Drosophila melanogaster: one gene and its partner. The protein of the gene in region 2 interacts with the protein of the main gene of each other region in a pairwise test. Each region holds a gene or a part of one and is shown on either strand. Other genes may lie near its edges.

Region 1 (8,090 bases), on a different chromosome or scaffold from region 2:
CATTAGTTTTTTCTGAGAATGAAGTATAATATTTGAAACAGACTTGTGGCAGCCTACATCTATAAGTCTTAATGGAATCTATCACAATAAGATCTGTATAGAGCCCACCTATAAATACTTAAATTATCGATCTATAAAAGGGTAAATCGTGTAAAGATCTAATATCCCATAAAATATGCTCGTTATTATCGAATTGATGTAACGATGAAAGTGACGTGACTCAAGATAGTCTTATTTTCCTTTTACAACGATCAAAAGTGGCACAGTAAAAAGTTTCGCTTTCGTCTTTTTCTTCTTCTTGCCTTACCCCCAACGTCAGCTGTCGCCACACGCACACACTCGCGTGCTCCCCCCACACAGACACACACGCACACTCGTCTGCTGCTGTTTGTGTGCGAGGGCATTTGTACACGCATGCAAGTATATCTGTATGTATATATAGCAACTATATATTTTTATACCCCAGTTGCACTTCCTGGAGAACTTTTTCGGATCTTCAAGTGCTCAAAGGATCGCTAATATTCCTTTTGAGACCCCAGAGAGAGAGAGCCACTCACACACACACGCATAACTGCCTTTATGGGGGACACAAACGTAACTCGCTTTCAACGTCATCAAGCATCCGCTTTCTTTCGAGACGCGAACAAAGGGAATTTCGGGCAGTATCCTATAGGTTGTGCCAACCCAAGGAATGGCACCTTCGAAAAGTAGGGCCACAGGCCAGTGAAAGGTCCTTGAAACCAAGTAATCCCCCAGGAAAAACAATGAACTACACGAAAATCTCTCTCAACGTTTTTTTCGTTACGTTTCACTTTTCACTCTGCTTCGTGGATTTCGCACAAACTTGGTTTAATGCAATTTTTGGCACTGGTGCTGCACTGACTCACCTTCAAAATGCACATATTATTGCATTAAAGGTACGAAAATATGTTTTTTAATTTTCATTGGATTATTGTAAGAAATTTGGGAAGTTGCAATCAGTATGACCGCAGGTGACGAGCGGCGGAATACTGAATCCAGCTGGCTGAAAACGTTGAATGTCTTGCTGCACTGCTTACACGAAGGGTCGCACTAGGCGCTCTCAGCTGATTGCGATAAGCAGTTATCGTTTTGGACATCACTATCTATATTTGAAATTCGATAACCTAATTTTATAGCATTTATTGTATAAATGGCTAAAATATACAACACATGTTCTAATTAGAAAAACAAAAGTACAAGAAGTTTAAACTTTGTAACTACGACGTTTATATAAGTGGTAGAAGACTGAGAAATCTTTTCGATTTAATGTACAAACACATTAAATATTTGCCTCAAAGAAACTTTTAGTTCTTGTAAGTGAATTTGTGAGAAATTTTTTCGATTGGATGTACAAACACATATTAAATATTTGCCTCTAAGAATCATTTAGTTCCTGTAAGTGAATTTCGCATAAAATGTTATTTTATTCAGTTAACTACAATGGTTTATCGTACATATTCAATGTACATAATATTTCTATGGTCAGTGCAGTTGAGTTATTAGTCCATAGGTCGTATATTCCAAAACTGTTGCAGAGTTTATAAAACTCAGGTATGAAAATCTATTTCTTGGCAGCAGCTGCTCCATACGCAGAGGCTTTGCTGATCTTCGAAGCATTCACAGCGTATTCCATGAGGCTATAGACTGGAAGTACAAGTTGTAAAGTTAAGCACATATCCTCGAAACTAGAATTTCTCAACTTACATCCTCCCAAAATGGAAAGAACCGTGATGAAGCCAAACCAGTTGCCGGCAACCAGCGAGGTGACCAAGTAGTGCAGAATGCACAGGACGGCAAAGGTGGCCCAGCCCAAGAAGTTGAGGAGCGTGCTCAGGCGCGGCTTGTAGATTTTCTCGGGCACCTCCTTGACTCCGGAATTCTTAAAGAAGCTGCCGGTCTCGTGGAAGCTGTCGATGATCTTGTCCTTTTCCGCAAAGAAGTCCTGCATCCAGGCGGCGGCCTCCTTCTCGTCATCGGGAACCACGTCCAGTGGCACTCGGCGAATGTACATGTACGGTTCCACGGGCTCTCCGTTCAACTGGGACAGCATGGTGGGCTTTGGCTGTAAGTTAATTCAAGTTCGAAAATGTAATTTAAAATATATATACATATATATGAGATCTTAAGTTCTCACCTCGGCATTCTTCTTGAAGGCCAGATTGATGTCGTAGATGGCAGGACAGATGCCACGCATGGTGGGCAGACTGGTCGTGAATCCCTTAGTGCGCGGAATCAGATGGTGCTTGAGGAGGGGAAGACCTCGCTCCTCGGCGAACTTGACTGACAGCTCGTGTTTGGCGGGTGTGAAACGGGTGCCCTCCGCGTTCAGCAGTAGCCACACGGGATCCGGATAGGAGAAGACCTCCTTCAGCTGCGTCTTGATCACCACCTTGTCCTTCTCGAAGTTGCGGTCAAGGAAGATGAACTCGGCCATCCACCAGACCCATCCCAGGACCGGAACATAGCGCAGCATCTTCTTGGCATACGCCTTGGTGCCTCCCAGATTGCCCAGCTTGTCGGTGATCATCCAGGCGGTCAGCCAGTCGATCTCGTACGTGTGGTTCATCAGGAGCAGTCCATGCTCCTTGCCGAAGAACTTCTGCTCGTCCTGGGGATCGATGTACACCCTCAGCTTGCTGCCCGCATACCATTCCGCCACACAGACAAGGACTAAAGTGTGAGGATAGTTTTTAAATTATCAAAAAGTACCACTTTTACGTTATTTCATTTAATCATCAAATGTAAAAACTAAGTGATTTATACAAAAGAAGACCTTGCATATACCTAATCTAATCAGGAAAACAGGAAGTGTGCTGAAAACTACACTATACTTAATGTGAATGAAATGTGAAACGTTTATACTCATAATGATATGATAATCTATATTAATATGATGGTTACTTACTGCAATAGAAGGAGTAGTGCAGGTAGTAGGCCAGACTGCGGGATAGCTTCTTATCGAAGGGCCTCACGAGGAGAATCAGCAGGAGCTGGCCAATGTTGACGAAGAATCCGCATGTGAAGAAGGTCACGGCGATCAGCAGTCGCCCCAAACCCCGGAGATGCGACATCCTAGGCTAAGAATAGACGCAACTCAATAAATTCAGTCCGTTGGAGAAACGTTTACGTAATCGAAAGTCATGTCTGCAATGCAGTTCATAAATATGTCCAGCGCGCGATATCGACATTTTATTATATGGCCAGTACTCAAACTTTGCTCCCAATGTGTCATGAAAATTGAAATGCTTAAATTATAGTACCGTAAACGCACACACACCCACGCGCAACACACGGTATTGGTACAGTAGACACTAGTAATTTGAATTCTTATCGTTGGATCGGGAAAACAGTACAACGCATTTCATAATTAACTAAGATATTTTTTATTGCATAGTTCGACGAGGAAAATCGAACTAAGCTGTACAATCCTCATTTTGTTTTATCAAATTTGGTAGAAGCAATGATAATGACAATGCCATAAGTACAACTAGTTTTTGAACTCAACACGTTTCAGTTTCACTTTGCGACAGTCCACTTTCTCATTTACACACACACTCACTCACCTATCTAAGCGGAATCTTAACAATTAGAGACCAGGAAGTTGCAACTTGTTCTACCAACCAGTAGAATTCGACTGAATGAAAGTGACTCTTCTAGGCGGCCCGAGCCCCTAGTGATATGGATCTCGTCGATAGTACAACCCAGAAACCCACAACTAACACTTTTAATCACCTGTTATCAGTCAATTGGAATGGGCGACACTGCTTATCGGCGAATAAAGGCGATTTTATGCTTGGCGTGTGGTTGTATTGATCATATAGCCAAGGGCAAGCAGTCGAACTAACGGAACGTGTGCTGCTTCTGATCGTTACAACTGATAAAGAAACGAACGTGTAGGAAGAATGCTGATAAACACAAATATTTGGATAATATGCTTTGCTTATTGCTCATTTCCTTCCTGTTCAAAAGGTAACTTTTGAAAGCATTTCTGGGAATCTCAAAAACAATGTATTCGAAATTTTACATTTATTTTACACACGTATGTGTGTAATTTTCAAGTATCCAGTTTAGAAATACTGTTGGTATTTTGTGTTAAGGTCACTCTTTAGGTGCACTGCTTGCATGTCCACACTTATCAGCAGCCCTTATCAGCGCACTGCTTACCTTACGCCTTATCAAAAAACAACAACAACAAACTCACGCTCTCACGTTCTGTTTAATTTAATTATTGCAATGCTCGCCAAAATACAATTGATCAAACAATTAAATTTCCACTTAGGTGTACAACTACCAACTACGTACGCAAATTGATGGCTCCAGTGTGCGGGAGTTACTTCGTAACTATAAACTTAGACAAGAAAAACATGCAAAACACTTTAAATCGTCCGGATAGGAATCACGAATTGATCCATTTAGCAGAGAGATTTGTGAGAGGACTGCCTTTTACAAAGTCATTTGTAGATAATTGAGTTCGACGACAATCGAAACTAAATGCGAATTCGAAAGTTACTTTGCGACCGACTTGGAGGATCCATAATTAGATGCCTTGCTGATCTGCGTCTTGTTGATGGCCTGACCCATGAGCCAGTAAACTGTAACAAGAAAAAAAGAATATTAATAAGATTTACAAAAGTTAAGGTTTTGGAGGGAGTAGGAACACATTAGAACGCGGCTTATATTATTGTTATAACCATGCAGACGTCATTATATATGAACTTTAGCATTTAACACTCCAAAAAGTTCTTAAAACTTAAAGAATGAACGGCTAATGCCGTCTAAAGTGCCATCCTCCTTAAAGATCGAACCCCAAACTTACAAAGTCCCAGGACGGAAAGTGCGGTGATAAAGGCCGTCCAGTTGGCCGCCAGCAGGGATGTGATCACGTAGTAGAAAATGCAGGACAGAGAGAATACCGCCCAGCAGACAAAGTTCACGAGTGAGCACAGCCGGCGTTTATTCACATATGCCGGAACCTCCTTTATGCCGGACGTCTTAAAGAAGCTGCCCGTCTCCAGGAAGCTATCGATGATCTTGTCCTTCTCCACGAACAGGTTCTGCAGCCAGGCGGCCGCCTCCTTCTCATCCTCCGGAACCTGTTCCAGTGGAATACGCCTCATCAGCAGGTGCGGTTCCACGCTCTTTCCATGCAGCAAACTCAGCATTGTGGCGGGGGTCTGAAAGTTCAATTGCAAGTTAATTAAGTCCGGTAAATAGCCTTTTAGTAGCTAAAACTGTAGTATCTTTATAAGCATCTTTTATAACTCACTTCTGCGAGTTTAATTTAAAACCATAATAAATTTGCAATTTGCTAAATTCTATGCACTTATCATTAGAACGCCAAATTACTCAGTTAAAAAATTAAGGTTGCTATGCTGGCTAAAGTGCTAATAATACTGATGACACGTCAAAGGTAAGGAAAATAAACCAAAATAAGGAAAATAAGTTATAAAAATTACCACTTGATTAACCTTGAAATGTTTGCTCATTCTAATCGGTATCTTTAAGAGCATCGATCTTAAGAAATCGTGACTCTTAAAAGAGGCAGTGAAGTAAATGAGCAAAATAATCGGATTAAACGAAAAGAAATTTGATTAGACCAAAGCAATCAGACAGGTATTGTCGAACAGGCTGATTAGCCTTATCAAAAATATACATGAGAAGCTTTGCCATGCAGAATTCTGCATTAAATGTATGGCACAATAAAATACAGTATTATATAACTAAAGCACTTAAATGAAGTGCTTGAAGTTTGCCGTTATAATTACCTTATCTGTGGGCCTGTACGCTAGATTAATGTCGTAGATTACCGGACAGAGACCGCGGATGGGTGCCAAGCTGGCGGTGAATCCCTTGGTGCGCGGGATCAAATGGTGCTTCAGCACCGTCATGCCCCTCTCCTGGGCGAATTTTACGGATGCCTCGTGCTTGGCGGGAGTGAAGCGAGTGCCCTCGGCGTTGAGCAAAAGCCAGGTGGGATCGGGATAGGAGAAGACCACCTTGAGCTGTTCGGTGATGATGGTCTTGTCCTGGTCGAAGTTTCGATTGAGGAAGACGAACTCGGCCAGCCACCAGCCCCAGCCGATGATGGGCACGTAGCGGATTGCCTTCTTCGCATAGGCCTTGCAGTTGCCCAGCACGCCCAACTTTTCGCAGATCATCCAGCCGTTGAGCCAATCGATCTCGTATTTATGGTTCATGATCAGAAGGACGTGTTCCTTGCCGGCATGCTTCTCGAAGTCCTCCTTGTCCATGTAGACAGTCATCTTGCTGCCGGCATACCAATCGGACACGAAGATAAGTTCTAAGGGATTGGAGGTATTATGTTTCTACTTCGAATCGGAACTGGTCAGGATATACTCACGGGAGTAAAGCGAATAGCAGGCATAGTACATCAACTTGCGGAAGAGTCGCTTGTCTATGGGCTTGATAAAGACGTGCATCAGCAGCTGGATAAAGTTGATGCACAGCCCGCTGGTAAAGAAGGTGAGCGCGATGCACAGGTGTATCAGTCTCAATTGTTTCAGCTTCTCCAGGGAACCCATTTTGATCTGCAAATAGCGATGTTTAACCAATAAAACGGCTGTCTTTACGTAATCACTACTTTAATTGTAGGTTGTTCTCCCGGTAGTGCTCGTAAACCCGCACTTTATGGTCCCAACGGTGGAACACCTAGTTTATGACCACTACACAAGGTCCCGCACTCACACAAGAGCTGCGTTTTCTTCAATTAAAAGCACGCGGCCAAGTTAAAAGAAATCGTGAAATCCGGGAAGGCAACCACCTGCACCACCAGCTGGCAATGGACTGGGGCAACCGCCGCACGGCAGAGATATTCGCCAGATATCAGCGGGAGCTATAGCCCATAGCCCTATAGGCTATAGCTTTTGCTAAGGCCGCTGCCGGAGGAGGAATCTAATCAGCCTTGGCCAATCGATGACTTCTCCGTTGGAAATAGCTACAGCCGCTGTGGACAAAGTCCGCCTGTCCGACGGATAGTCATTATGGGGCAGATACTCGCACTTCACAGTGGAAGCTCGCGAAAGTCAATAATCTTTAGAATGAGTGGGTTTATGGGGACCAAAGTGTGCAAACAGTTTAGCAAAAAATTGATGACAGTTAGGTGTCATTTTTTACATTTTGTACATGGAGATGTTTTAAAAAAGTACTAAAGTTTTACGACCGTTTTAATTATGAGTAAAAACGACAACTTTAAAACTTTAAACTAATTAAATCATTTCATTAAGGCGTTTAGCTATTCATATTTCTTATTAAATAATACTTGGCTTCGGATATTTTAGATATTTCAATTTAAGCAAATTTAAATAAGTTTCGAAACGATTTTCGGATTTTAAATAAACTAAAGTAATAGGTATTATATATTGAGATTATTATTTAAATGATCATGATTTACTTAAATTATGATTTAAAACATGTCAGCGGATAAAGTTTATCAAAGAAGTTTTTATTTGTATTTCTACAAAGTTATAAACAATGGTTGTAAAACGACCAATGATAAAGGTCAATCTTTTGTTTTGACACGTAATATAAAACTGGGACTGCATATATTTACATGCACAATGGAACGCACTACGTTTTTGTAATAGAAATGAATGCATTCAGTTGACAAGCACTGCTTTTTTTAAATTTCTTATTTCTTCCTATGATAATGGGATTTAAATCCAATGAAAAAAGGAGTACTTTTCATGCCATTTCTTATGCACACCGCCATTAGCTGAATCAACCGAAAATTCGCCGGGCCGAATTGATTGTATTTTTGATGCACTCAATTGGTGACCCCGACGTTGATTGCTGAACCCATTGTATTGAATTAGTTTACTTTTTCGATCGTCCACTTTACATACAACAAAAGAGTTCTTGTGCACGACCATGCGATTGTGTGCGTGTGAGCATGCATATACGTATGCATGTGCTCAGCTGGCGCACGTGTGCGAGTGTGTGTGTTTGGGAGAGGCGTGGGGTGGCGTGACGTGGTTAACATTTATGGTTATCAGTTCGCGATCTGCAAGGCAATAGCCACCCACAAACGATCAATAAACAAAGTCCTATTT
Region 2 (8,802 bases):
ATTTGGCCGGCGGAGTTGAGCAGGGCGAGCACGTCGTTGGTCTTGCGCTCGATCATAAGGATCATGGCGCGCGAGAGCAGGAAGAGCACTTTCAGGTACGTGGCGCTCGCCTCGTCGGCACTTTCCGCGCCCACGGCCAGCAGTTCGGAGGCCAGCGAGTACTCGCGATCGCTGGCATGTATTTGGGCCAGCTGGAGCAGCAGCTTGCAGTGCCAATAGACGTTGTTTTGCGACAGTTCCACGGCCCGCCGGAGCATCGCCTTGGCCTGATGCGAGTTTCTGTCCGTCTGCAGATGCAGTTGGGCCAGCAGCGAGGCGGTGTCGAACTTAACGTCGAAATTGGGCAGCGGTTCGGATATGCTCCACGCCTTCTCCAAATGCTGGCGCGCCAGATCGATGTTCTTAGTGTAGGCCATCAGGATCTGGCCCATCTGCAAATGTGTCCGCGCCTCGACCTTCGAGGGCGGCATAAATGTGAACAGGGCTTGAAGACACTGGATGCATTTCTTGATGTTCGGCGGCTGCGAGGTGCGGAAGTACTCCGCCAGGCCAAGGAGCGATATGTAGCAGGCGTCCTGGGACGCCGCCGTCGACGTGCTCGTCGATGCACTCATTTCGGTGAGCGGGTGCCAAATTCGGTTTGTTTATCGCGTAATTTTGTTGTCAATTCGCGACTATTCAATCACGGTGGTGGCTGCCAGTGTTGTCAAGTGCGGAATTCTAGTGGTGAACCAAGCTTTAGCGGTTATCGTTTAGCAGTCACAGTGGCAGTCACTCTTTTTCAGTACCGCGAATGGTCCCGTTCAGCAGAACATAAAACTTGAAAAAAGCTATCGCTTAAAAACAAAACTGAGTAGATAATATATATTTCTGTACGAATCAAAAATTATTTCTTTTTGCAGTAATCAACTAAATAAATTTAATAAATATAGAAAAATGAGATAATATTATTTAAACATGGTAAATTTAGCAGAACTCCAATTAGGAAACCAATTCTTACTTTAAATCACTGTTTAGAAAAACCGTCTTATTTCAGTGACGGAACAGTACGTTATCAATTTAAATTCGAGGATCAGCTGCGATTTCGCCCGCTTATCGCATTATTCTCATTATTTTTAAGCCTAGCTCTGCCGTTTATTGCCACATGCATTAGTCAGTGATTGTAAGTGCAATCGGTTGGACCACCATTGTTTCCGTTTTGATTTAAGTTCTGTGCAAAATTCCGTTAAGGTAAAACCCAAGATTCTTTTAAAATAAATATTTCATACGCTTGTATCAATAACGACTATACATAATAATTTATGTTTGCAATCGATTTAAACACATACTCCGGCACATGAAAGTTTCTTATCAGTATAAATATACTATATAATATATATATATATATAAATATATATGTTATAAGAATTATGATGAATACAAGAAATACAGAATTCTAGGAAATGTGAAGAAAGAGATTTTTTTAATGGTTCTGAGAAACTTGTCTCAGTTGGGCTCGTGTCAATGTTTATATTTAAAATCCTATTGTAAAAAGCTCATTTTTAATAGTCCGACAAAATTTGGATGTGCCACAAAGTCGATTAAGGATTCCAACACTATCTCTGGCAAAATCCCACAATATACATACATATGAACAATAAACTATAATGTTATGAGGCCAAGATTATTTAATGATTCATGTTTTTTCTTTGGAAAAATTCACATTGTGAGAAATAATATCACATCCTTCACTATTTATTAGTTCTAGTTCATAAATTCTTTATAGTTCATACTTAATGAATGTCCTTAAATTTTTAGACAGTACCAACTATGCACACCTTCAGTTTGGTCCTGTTGGCCCTCCTTCCCGTAGTAACCATAGCTGCCTTGGACAAGCCGGAGCTATCATTTCTAAATGAATTCTCACAAATTTTCAAGGGAGAACGAGACTTCTCCTTAGCATTAATGAAACAGATCCGAGAGATATATCCCAGCGGCAATCTGTTCTTCTCGCCGTTCAGCACCTACAACGCCCTGCTCCTCGCCTACTTCAGTTCCTCCGAGCAGACGGAACGTGAGCTGGCCCAGGCACTGAACCTGGGATGGGCATTAAACAAACAGCAGGTCCTAGTTTCGTACACGTTGGCACAGAGGCAGGACGAATTTCGTTGGCGCCAAAGTCCCATGGAGCTCTCGTCTGCGAACAGAATTTTCGTCGACAGGACAATAAATGTTTCCAACAAATTCAACACTTTACTCTACGGGGCAACCAAAGAATTGGATTTCAAGAATGATCCGGAGACTGGCCTAAAGGAAATTAACGACTGGATAGCCGATAAGACGCACAACCAGATCCGCGACATGCTCAGCTCCGAGGAGATCACACCCCACACCATGTTGGTGCTGGCCAACGCCGCCTACATGAAGGGCCAGTGGCTCAGCCAGTTCAAGGTGGAGGAGACCGCCTTGAAGCCATTCTTCATTAACGAGCGTGAGCAGGAAATGGTTTACATGATGCACAAGACGGGCGCCTTCAAGATGACCATCGATGAGGGCTTGCAATCGCAGATCATCAAGCTGCCCTACCGCACCATATACAAGTCGAAGGAGACGCACATTTCCACCCCCGAGTCCAAATCCGATATCTCCATGATTATCATTCTGCCGAACTCCAACAAAATCAGTCTTAACCGTGTCATATCCCGGCTAAATGCCGATTCCGTTAAGAAATGGTTCGAACGGGCATTGCCGCAGAAGATCGAGTTGTCGCTGCCCAAGTTCCAGTTTGAGCAGCGCCTGGAACTGACCCCTGTAAGCTATGACCTAACTGGACCACTTGAGTCGCACTAACACGTAAGCTGTTACCTTTTCAGATCCTCAGCTTAATGGGAGTGAACACAATGTTCACGAGAAACGCCACCTTTGGAGACCTGACTGCCGATCCCATTTCCCTTGTCATCGATGACGCCCAACATCTGGCCAAGATCAAAGTGGACGAAGTGGGCAGCACTGCGGCAGCGGCCACCATCCTCTTGGTCAGCCGATCCAGCAGGCAGCCCGATCCCACCAAATTCAACTGCAACCACCCGTTCGTGTTTCTTATCTATGATGAAAAGGTAGACACGATTCTCTTTGCGGGCGTCTACAGCGATCCCAGGCAAATGCAGCACTAGAAGTGTTTTAAGACTTGTGTGTTTTTGAAAAACTTGAAGAAAAATATGCTCTATAATGCACCAACTGTTATTTTCATTTATTAATTTCGATATAAGCTAGCTTATTGAAAGGTAATACTTTTAAATTTCCATACAACTCTCAAAAGCTCATATCCAAGTCACAACATTTGTATCGCAGTTTAAGTAACAACTTTTGCACGAAACGCAAACCCGTTGAAGCAACCCACATCTTGACTTTCTGAGTGACAATCATCGGATATCGATATCCAAGCTGCGCTTTGGGTTTTAAGTACCAAGCTACTTTGGAGCACCGGACTCAGTTTATAGTTAGACGCGCTGGTGAACGGACTTGCAGTCGTTCCAAGTAATAGTTGTATATCGGTGCCACTTAAGCCTACGTTTACTCGAAGAAGGTATTTCCCAGTGATCATCCAGTTGTGTCTGTCCCAATTTGTTCAACTCCCCGGCAATTGTGACGATCATTAAGCGAACGAATCGGGTTGAAATTAAAGCGTTGTCTATTATTGTAACACTAATCAGCATGCAAATGATTGCACAATTACACATACATACGTAGATATATGTTTACGCATATAGGGATTTGAATATACATACATATGTACATATATCAGGCACGCATTTTAAATGGGCCAGTGTATTTTCGCTGTTTATAACTTTTTGCCACTATAGCCTTGATTTGATTGATCTCTGAAGTGCGATCCCATAATGACCTCCAATTTAATAGGTTTTTCACTTGATGACTTTAAAGAAAAATATTGTTTTGAGTGACACATAGCTCTGCGTTTATAAATAAAACGGGGAAAACACTGAAATCGGAATGAAAATATTTATTTAATTTTGTTGTGCAAAAATAAATAATTTTGCCTTAGTCACTCATATGACATGATTAAAAAGTAAATCGCATTTGTCCAAGAAATTTGAATTCTACTTATATTTATTTACTAAGAAATTTCAAAGGAAGTGCTTGTGTTTTTGACAAAGCAATTAATCCAAGTTCAATGCAGCTTAATTTTGGCTGACATGTCCATTTCCACCTGTCAGTCAAAAAACTGGTTGTTCAATATTTTTTGGATTCGCCCAAAAAAAACCCAGCAAAACGCACAAAAAACGACGCGCATGCGCAGAAACAGCGTTACGTCTATGGGGTAAAAAAAAAAAAATAAAAGACCCAGCCGAAAGCAATTACAAAATCGCCCATACAGGGTCAACAATGAGCATTCATACGCGTTGAAATACGTTTATGAATCATATACTATGTATATTGGTAACTGCCGGTGGTATCCGCAACCGGTTATCGAAAATGTTAATTTTGGGTTTTTTATTTTCACACAACAAAGCGCTTTTCACTGCAGTCACGCAACGGATGACTTCGTCATCGCTCAGCTGCTGAAAGCAAAACTGGAGCTATGGTCATCACAAAGCTCAAGCTCCCAAACCGATCCCCGATCCGATCCGATCTGTGGGCGCTCCTTCATGCTCCGATGGATGCATGTGGGAATGGCTGATGTATGGATACATTATGTTCGGATTGCGAATTTCGAGTGCAGAGCAGCGGAAACTTTCACTTTTTTTTAATGTCGCCTCTGCGGAGATGTTGCAACTGTCGTCTGCAAATAGCTGACCACTCCATGGACTGGAAAAAGCTTTTTGGTGAATCAGCCTAAAGCGATCTTTAACGACCTCAAATCGGTTCTATATTTTCTAAAAAGTTTCAATCACAAATCATCTAAGCTAAGTCTATAAAATATTTCGTGATTGTTTACAACAATTCTGCAGTAGTCGGTTTATGTAACTAGAAAACCCTAATGACTTGAAGTTTGGCAAACTAAGTGAATATTAAGTACGTAATTAGCTGGGACTTGCAGTTCTAATTTAACTACTCCCATAATTAGTAGTGACTTTACACAGAAATCACTTTGGGGAATTTTGTCAATATTTCTGGGAGATTCATAAATTTTTCTGGCCTGAGTGCGCTTTAAATGCTTAGTTGTCTAATAAATTAGATGAGAAATTATACCAGGATTCAATGCCGGTCACGTATTCCACACAAATCACACACTCAAAAATAAAATGGTATACAAGGTCACATATTTAGGGGTCTTGTGCTTTTCGGTTACCCATTTCAATCACATGTGCTTGCAGCCGTTAAAATAATTGCTATTTTAACTTAAATCATGTTCCAATTTTTAGCAGGCTTCCACATCATGCACATCCTCAGCATATCTCTAATGGCGGTCCTGCCGGCCATCGCCTTAGCCGGTCTCTGTGGGGTTGAGCCCGATGCGGGTTTGTTGGATCAGCGGCTGAACCTCTATAAGGGCCAACAGAACTTTGCCGTGTCCATGCTGAACGTGATTCGGCAGAGCACTCCCAATGAGAACGTCTTCTTCTCGCCGTACAGCACGTATCATGCCCTGCTCCTCGCCTATTTCGGATCCTCTGGTGACACGGAGAAGGAGTTGGCCAAGGTGCTGCATCTGGATTGGGCCGACTCGAAGGAGGTGGTGCGCAGTGCCTATATTCTGGAGAAGATGAACCGTAAGGAGCGGCAGAGCAAAATGCCTCTCGAGTTCTCCTCAGCCGATCGCATATTCTTCGCCAATGATCTGCATGTGACCGAATGCGCAAGGAATCGTCTGGCCGAGGAGGTGCAGCAGATCGACTTCAAGAGCCAGACGGAGGAGTCGCGCAAGCAAATCAACGATTGGATTGCCAAGCAGACGCACGATCAAATCCGCAATATGCTCAGTGCCGATGAAATCACTCCGCGCACTCGTTTGGTCCTGGCCAACGCCGCCTATCTGAAGGGTCAGTGGCTCAGTCAGTTCAAGACGGAGAAGACGGTGCCCATGCCCTTCTACACGTCTCCGTCGAACTACTCTCTCGTGTCCATGATGCAACAGAAGGGCACCTTCTTACTGAATGTCGACGAACAGCTCCGCGCCCACGTGCTTCAGCTGCCCTATCGCACCGTCTTTGAGTCTCAGGAGAAGGAGGACAGCTCGCCGGATGAGAACTCGGACATCTCCATGGTGCTCATCTTGCCGCCATTTAACAGTAATTCCCTCGAAGATGTGCTCTCCCGGTTGAATGCCGACAGTCTGGATGATTCGTTGAAGCAGGCAATGCCCCGCGAAATCGAAGTTTCGCTGCCCAAGTTTGAGTTTGAACAGCGCCTGGAACTTAATCCTGTAAGTTTAGACTTTTTGATTCCAAAGCTTGATTTAGTTTTGACCTGCTCCATTCCTTAGATCCTTGCCAAAATGGGAGTTAGCAAAATGTTCGATGAGTCTGTCGCTACCTTCGATGATCTGACCTCCGAGACGATTTCCATCGGTGACTCCAAGCACGTGGCCAAGATCAAGGTGGACGAGGAGGGTAGCACTGCGGCGGCGGCCACAGTCCTCTTCACCTACCGCTCGGCCAGGCCCGTGGAGCCGGCCAAGTTTGAGTGCAACCATCCGTTCCTGTTCGTCATCTACGACCGCACTTCCAGGTCGATCCTATTTACGGGCATCTATCGCGATCCCAAAACAATAAAGCAGTAAAAGATGGCGGGCTTTAAGGTGCTGCAACTTTGCAAGTAATCTAACCAAATTATTTTTCGACTGTAAAACACGATGTAAACTTTAAAAACAAACTTTAACCATAATAAATTATGCCTATAACAAGAAACCTAATGATTTTATTCATCACTCATACAGGTTCTTAAATTTAAAAGAAAGAACAAGATTTATCCCGCCCATTAAGCGCACTTTAAAATCTTTGTTTTGCTCAATTTAATTAGTTTTTCATACAAAATTCGCATAAATAATCAAATCTACAAAGTTTCATTTTGGTTGTTTCCATTAAGTAAACACGGCTACGTAAACAAATATGCGAATAAGGATCTGCGTTATGAAGGAAAGGATACAACTCAGAGGAGCGTGGGCATCGCGATGGCTCTACACGCGTATGTACAATCATCTTTAATACTTAACACGAAACCGAAACTAAACAAACAAATTAAAGCGATACTAGACAATTGGAAAACAAAAGAATTAATTGTGTGAACTAAAAATGTATGTCATGGCCGAAGCGGAAAGCACTGAAGGCACTTTTGTTTTGGATGTTTGGCAAGAAGAAAGCTACGTTAAAAACATCAACGCATTTCTAGTTTTAAACTAGTTCAACACGATCCTTGCCTGATGCTCCTCGAAGAAAAGTGGGGTTTATCAGGTAGTAACTAAAACTAAATCTTCATAATATTGTGGGGTCGTCAGCGGGCAATCTCGATTGGAGTATAAAGGCTTCGCCTAAATGTCATCCGGAGGTATGGCGACAGCGTAGATGGCGAATCCGATGAACACAATGCCACCCACAATGGTGACAGTGCGCACTGAGATTTTGGAAGCCACGAGACGACCACCAATCACAGCCAGGCCGGTGCAGATGCAGTGGCCAATAATACCGCCAGCGATAACGCCGTAAACGTCCTGCAACGGATAATAGCTTCATGTACCAAATCATTCCGGTTATTTTTATCCAAAGTGCTCACCTTGCTAGCGGCGAGAATAATGGTGGTCAGTTGGGAGCGATCGCCCCACTCGGCCAGGAACGTCATTGTGAAGGCCTGGGCCAGGATGCGCATGGTGAAGTAGGTGGCACCCCGTTTCTGTGGACGACGACGACCGCTCTCGGCGTCATTCACCAGCGCCGCGTTCACATCACGATCCAGCTGTAAAGGAAGATGGGGATTTTTAAGGATCAGTATGCGAACAGCAGACAGACAAAAAAGATTCGATGAAAATGTGCGCAAACAAAAGGATATAAGACAGCAAATTAAAAATACATGTAAATACTTTTGAACCAGAAAACTCGGATACCACCGCTTTTCCTTCTTAATAAACCAAAAATATAAACTAAAATCAAAAATCAAGAAACGATCACTTCATCATAACAACATGCAGAGAGAAAAATCGGGTGAGATGTGTGCGCTTCGAATGTAATTTAAACGAGACTAATGGGTAATAAAATACCGAGGCGACAAAACCAAATGCCAGATGACTTAGAGTTAAAAAATAATTGATGCTTGTGTTTTTCGACTGTAGTGTCACTGTTTTATGAGTGTTTTTTGTTTTTTTTTTTTGGTAAAAAGCAAGTGAAACGTATATATGATTAGCTAACAACGAAAGTTAGCGGTTGTCAGTTATATAGATTCTCATTCCGATTACAATTTCTAGAAATAAAACTGATTAAATCTATTAATATAGGTTACTCTTTTTTTAGCCTCTCACAGCACTCAGATAAATTTAGCTTAGCTCTACAACTCTTTGGAAGTCTTGAGATTTGAAGTTAATTAATCATTCTTTAATCTAAATGATATGACTTTAGGGATCATAGTCCATTCGACAATCTCCATCTAAGTGTGTAGCGTTAATACAAAAACCAAAAATTCAATCAATTCCAATTTCGAAAAACGTAATCGAATGGGAACCGGAAGCGGGACAATCGCAAATACGGTCTATGTCCTAACCCGTGCTTTGAGAGCGCCATTCACCGGTCCGGATTCTCCGTTTAGGCTGCCATTGAGACTGTGCATGCTATCGTGTCCGGCCAGCGGAGCACGTGGCTCCGAGGCGCCACCTAC

The links.
Region 1: the proteins of Spn88Ea (region 2) and Agpat4 interact in a two-hybrid assay, tested with the Drosophila melanogaster proteins (one large-scale study listed by BioGRID).

What each region holds. Positions count from the first base shown.
Region 1 is NT_037436.4:16,377,545-16,385,634, forward strand, and holds Agpat4 (1-Acylglycerol-3-phosphate O-acyltransferase 4), read right to left. Parts: upstream 4,027-8,090; 5' UTR 3,754-4,026; intron 3,638-3,753; exon of another isoform or gene 3,585-3,637; intron 3,099-3,584; exon of another isoform or gene 3,094-3,098; 5' UTR 3,093-3,093; coding exon 2,927-3,092; intron 2,692-2,926; coding exon 2,156-2,691; intron 2,084-2,155; coding exon 1,726-2,083; intron 1,666-1,725; coding exon 1,583-1,665; 3' UTR 1,430-1,582; downstream 1-1,429. Other genes in the region: Agpat3 (1-Acylglycerol-3-phosphate O-acyltransferase 3), read right to left, coding at 4,528-4,613, 4,838-5,195, 5,787-6,322, 6,383-6,569, 7,884-7,910.
Region 2 is NT_033777.3:15,201,112-15,209,913, reverse strand, and holds Spn88Ea (serpin 88Ea), read left to right. Parts: upstream 1-3,466; 5' UTR 3,467-3,565; intron 3,566-5,363; exon of another isoform or gene 5,364-5,366; 5' UTR 5,367-5,377; coding exon 5,378-6,364; intron 6,365-6,424; coding exon 6,425-6,721; 3' UTR 6,722-6,845; downstream 6,846-8,802. Other genes in the region: Mau2 sister chromatid cohesion factor, read right to left, coding at 1-614; Spn88Eb (serpin 88Eb), read left to right, coding at 1,810-2,790, 2,853-3,152; CG42542 (uncharacterized protein), read right to left, coding at 7,469-7,648, 7,711-7,890, 8,689-8,802. UniProt on the Drosophila melanogaster protein: Serine protease inhibitor with activity toward trypsin. Negatively regulates the Toll signaling pathway and suppresses the expression of the antifungal peptide drosomycin.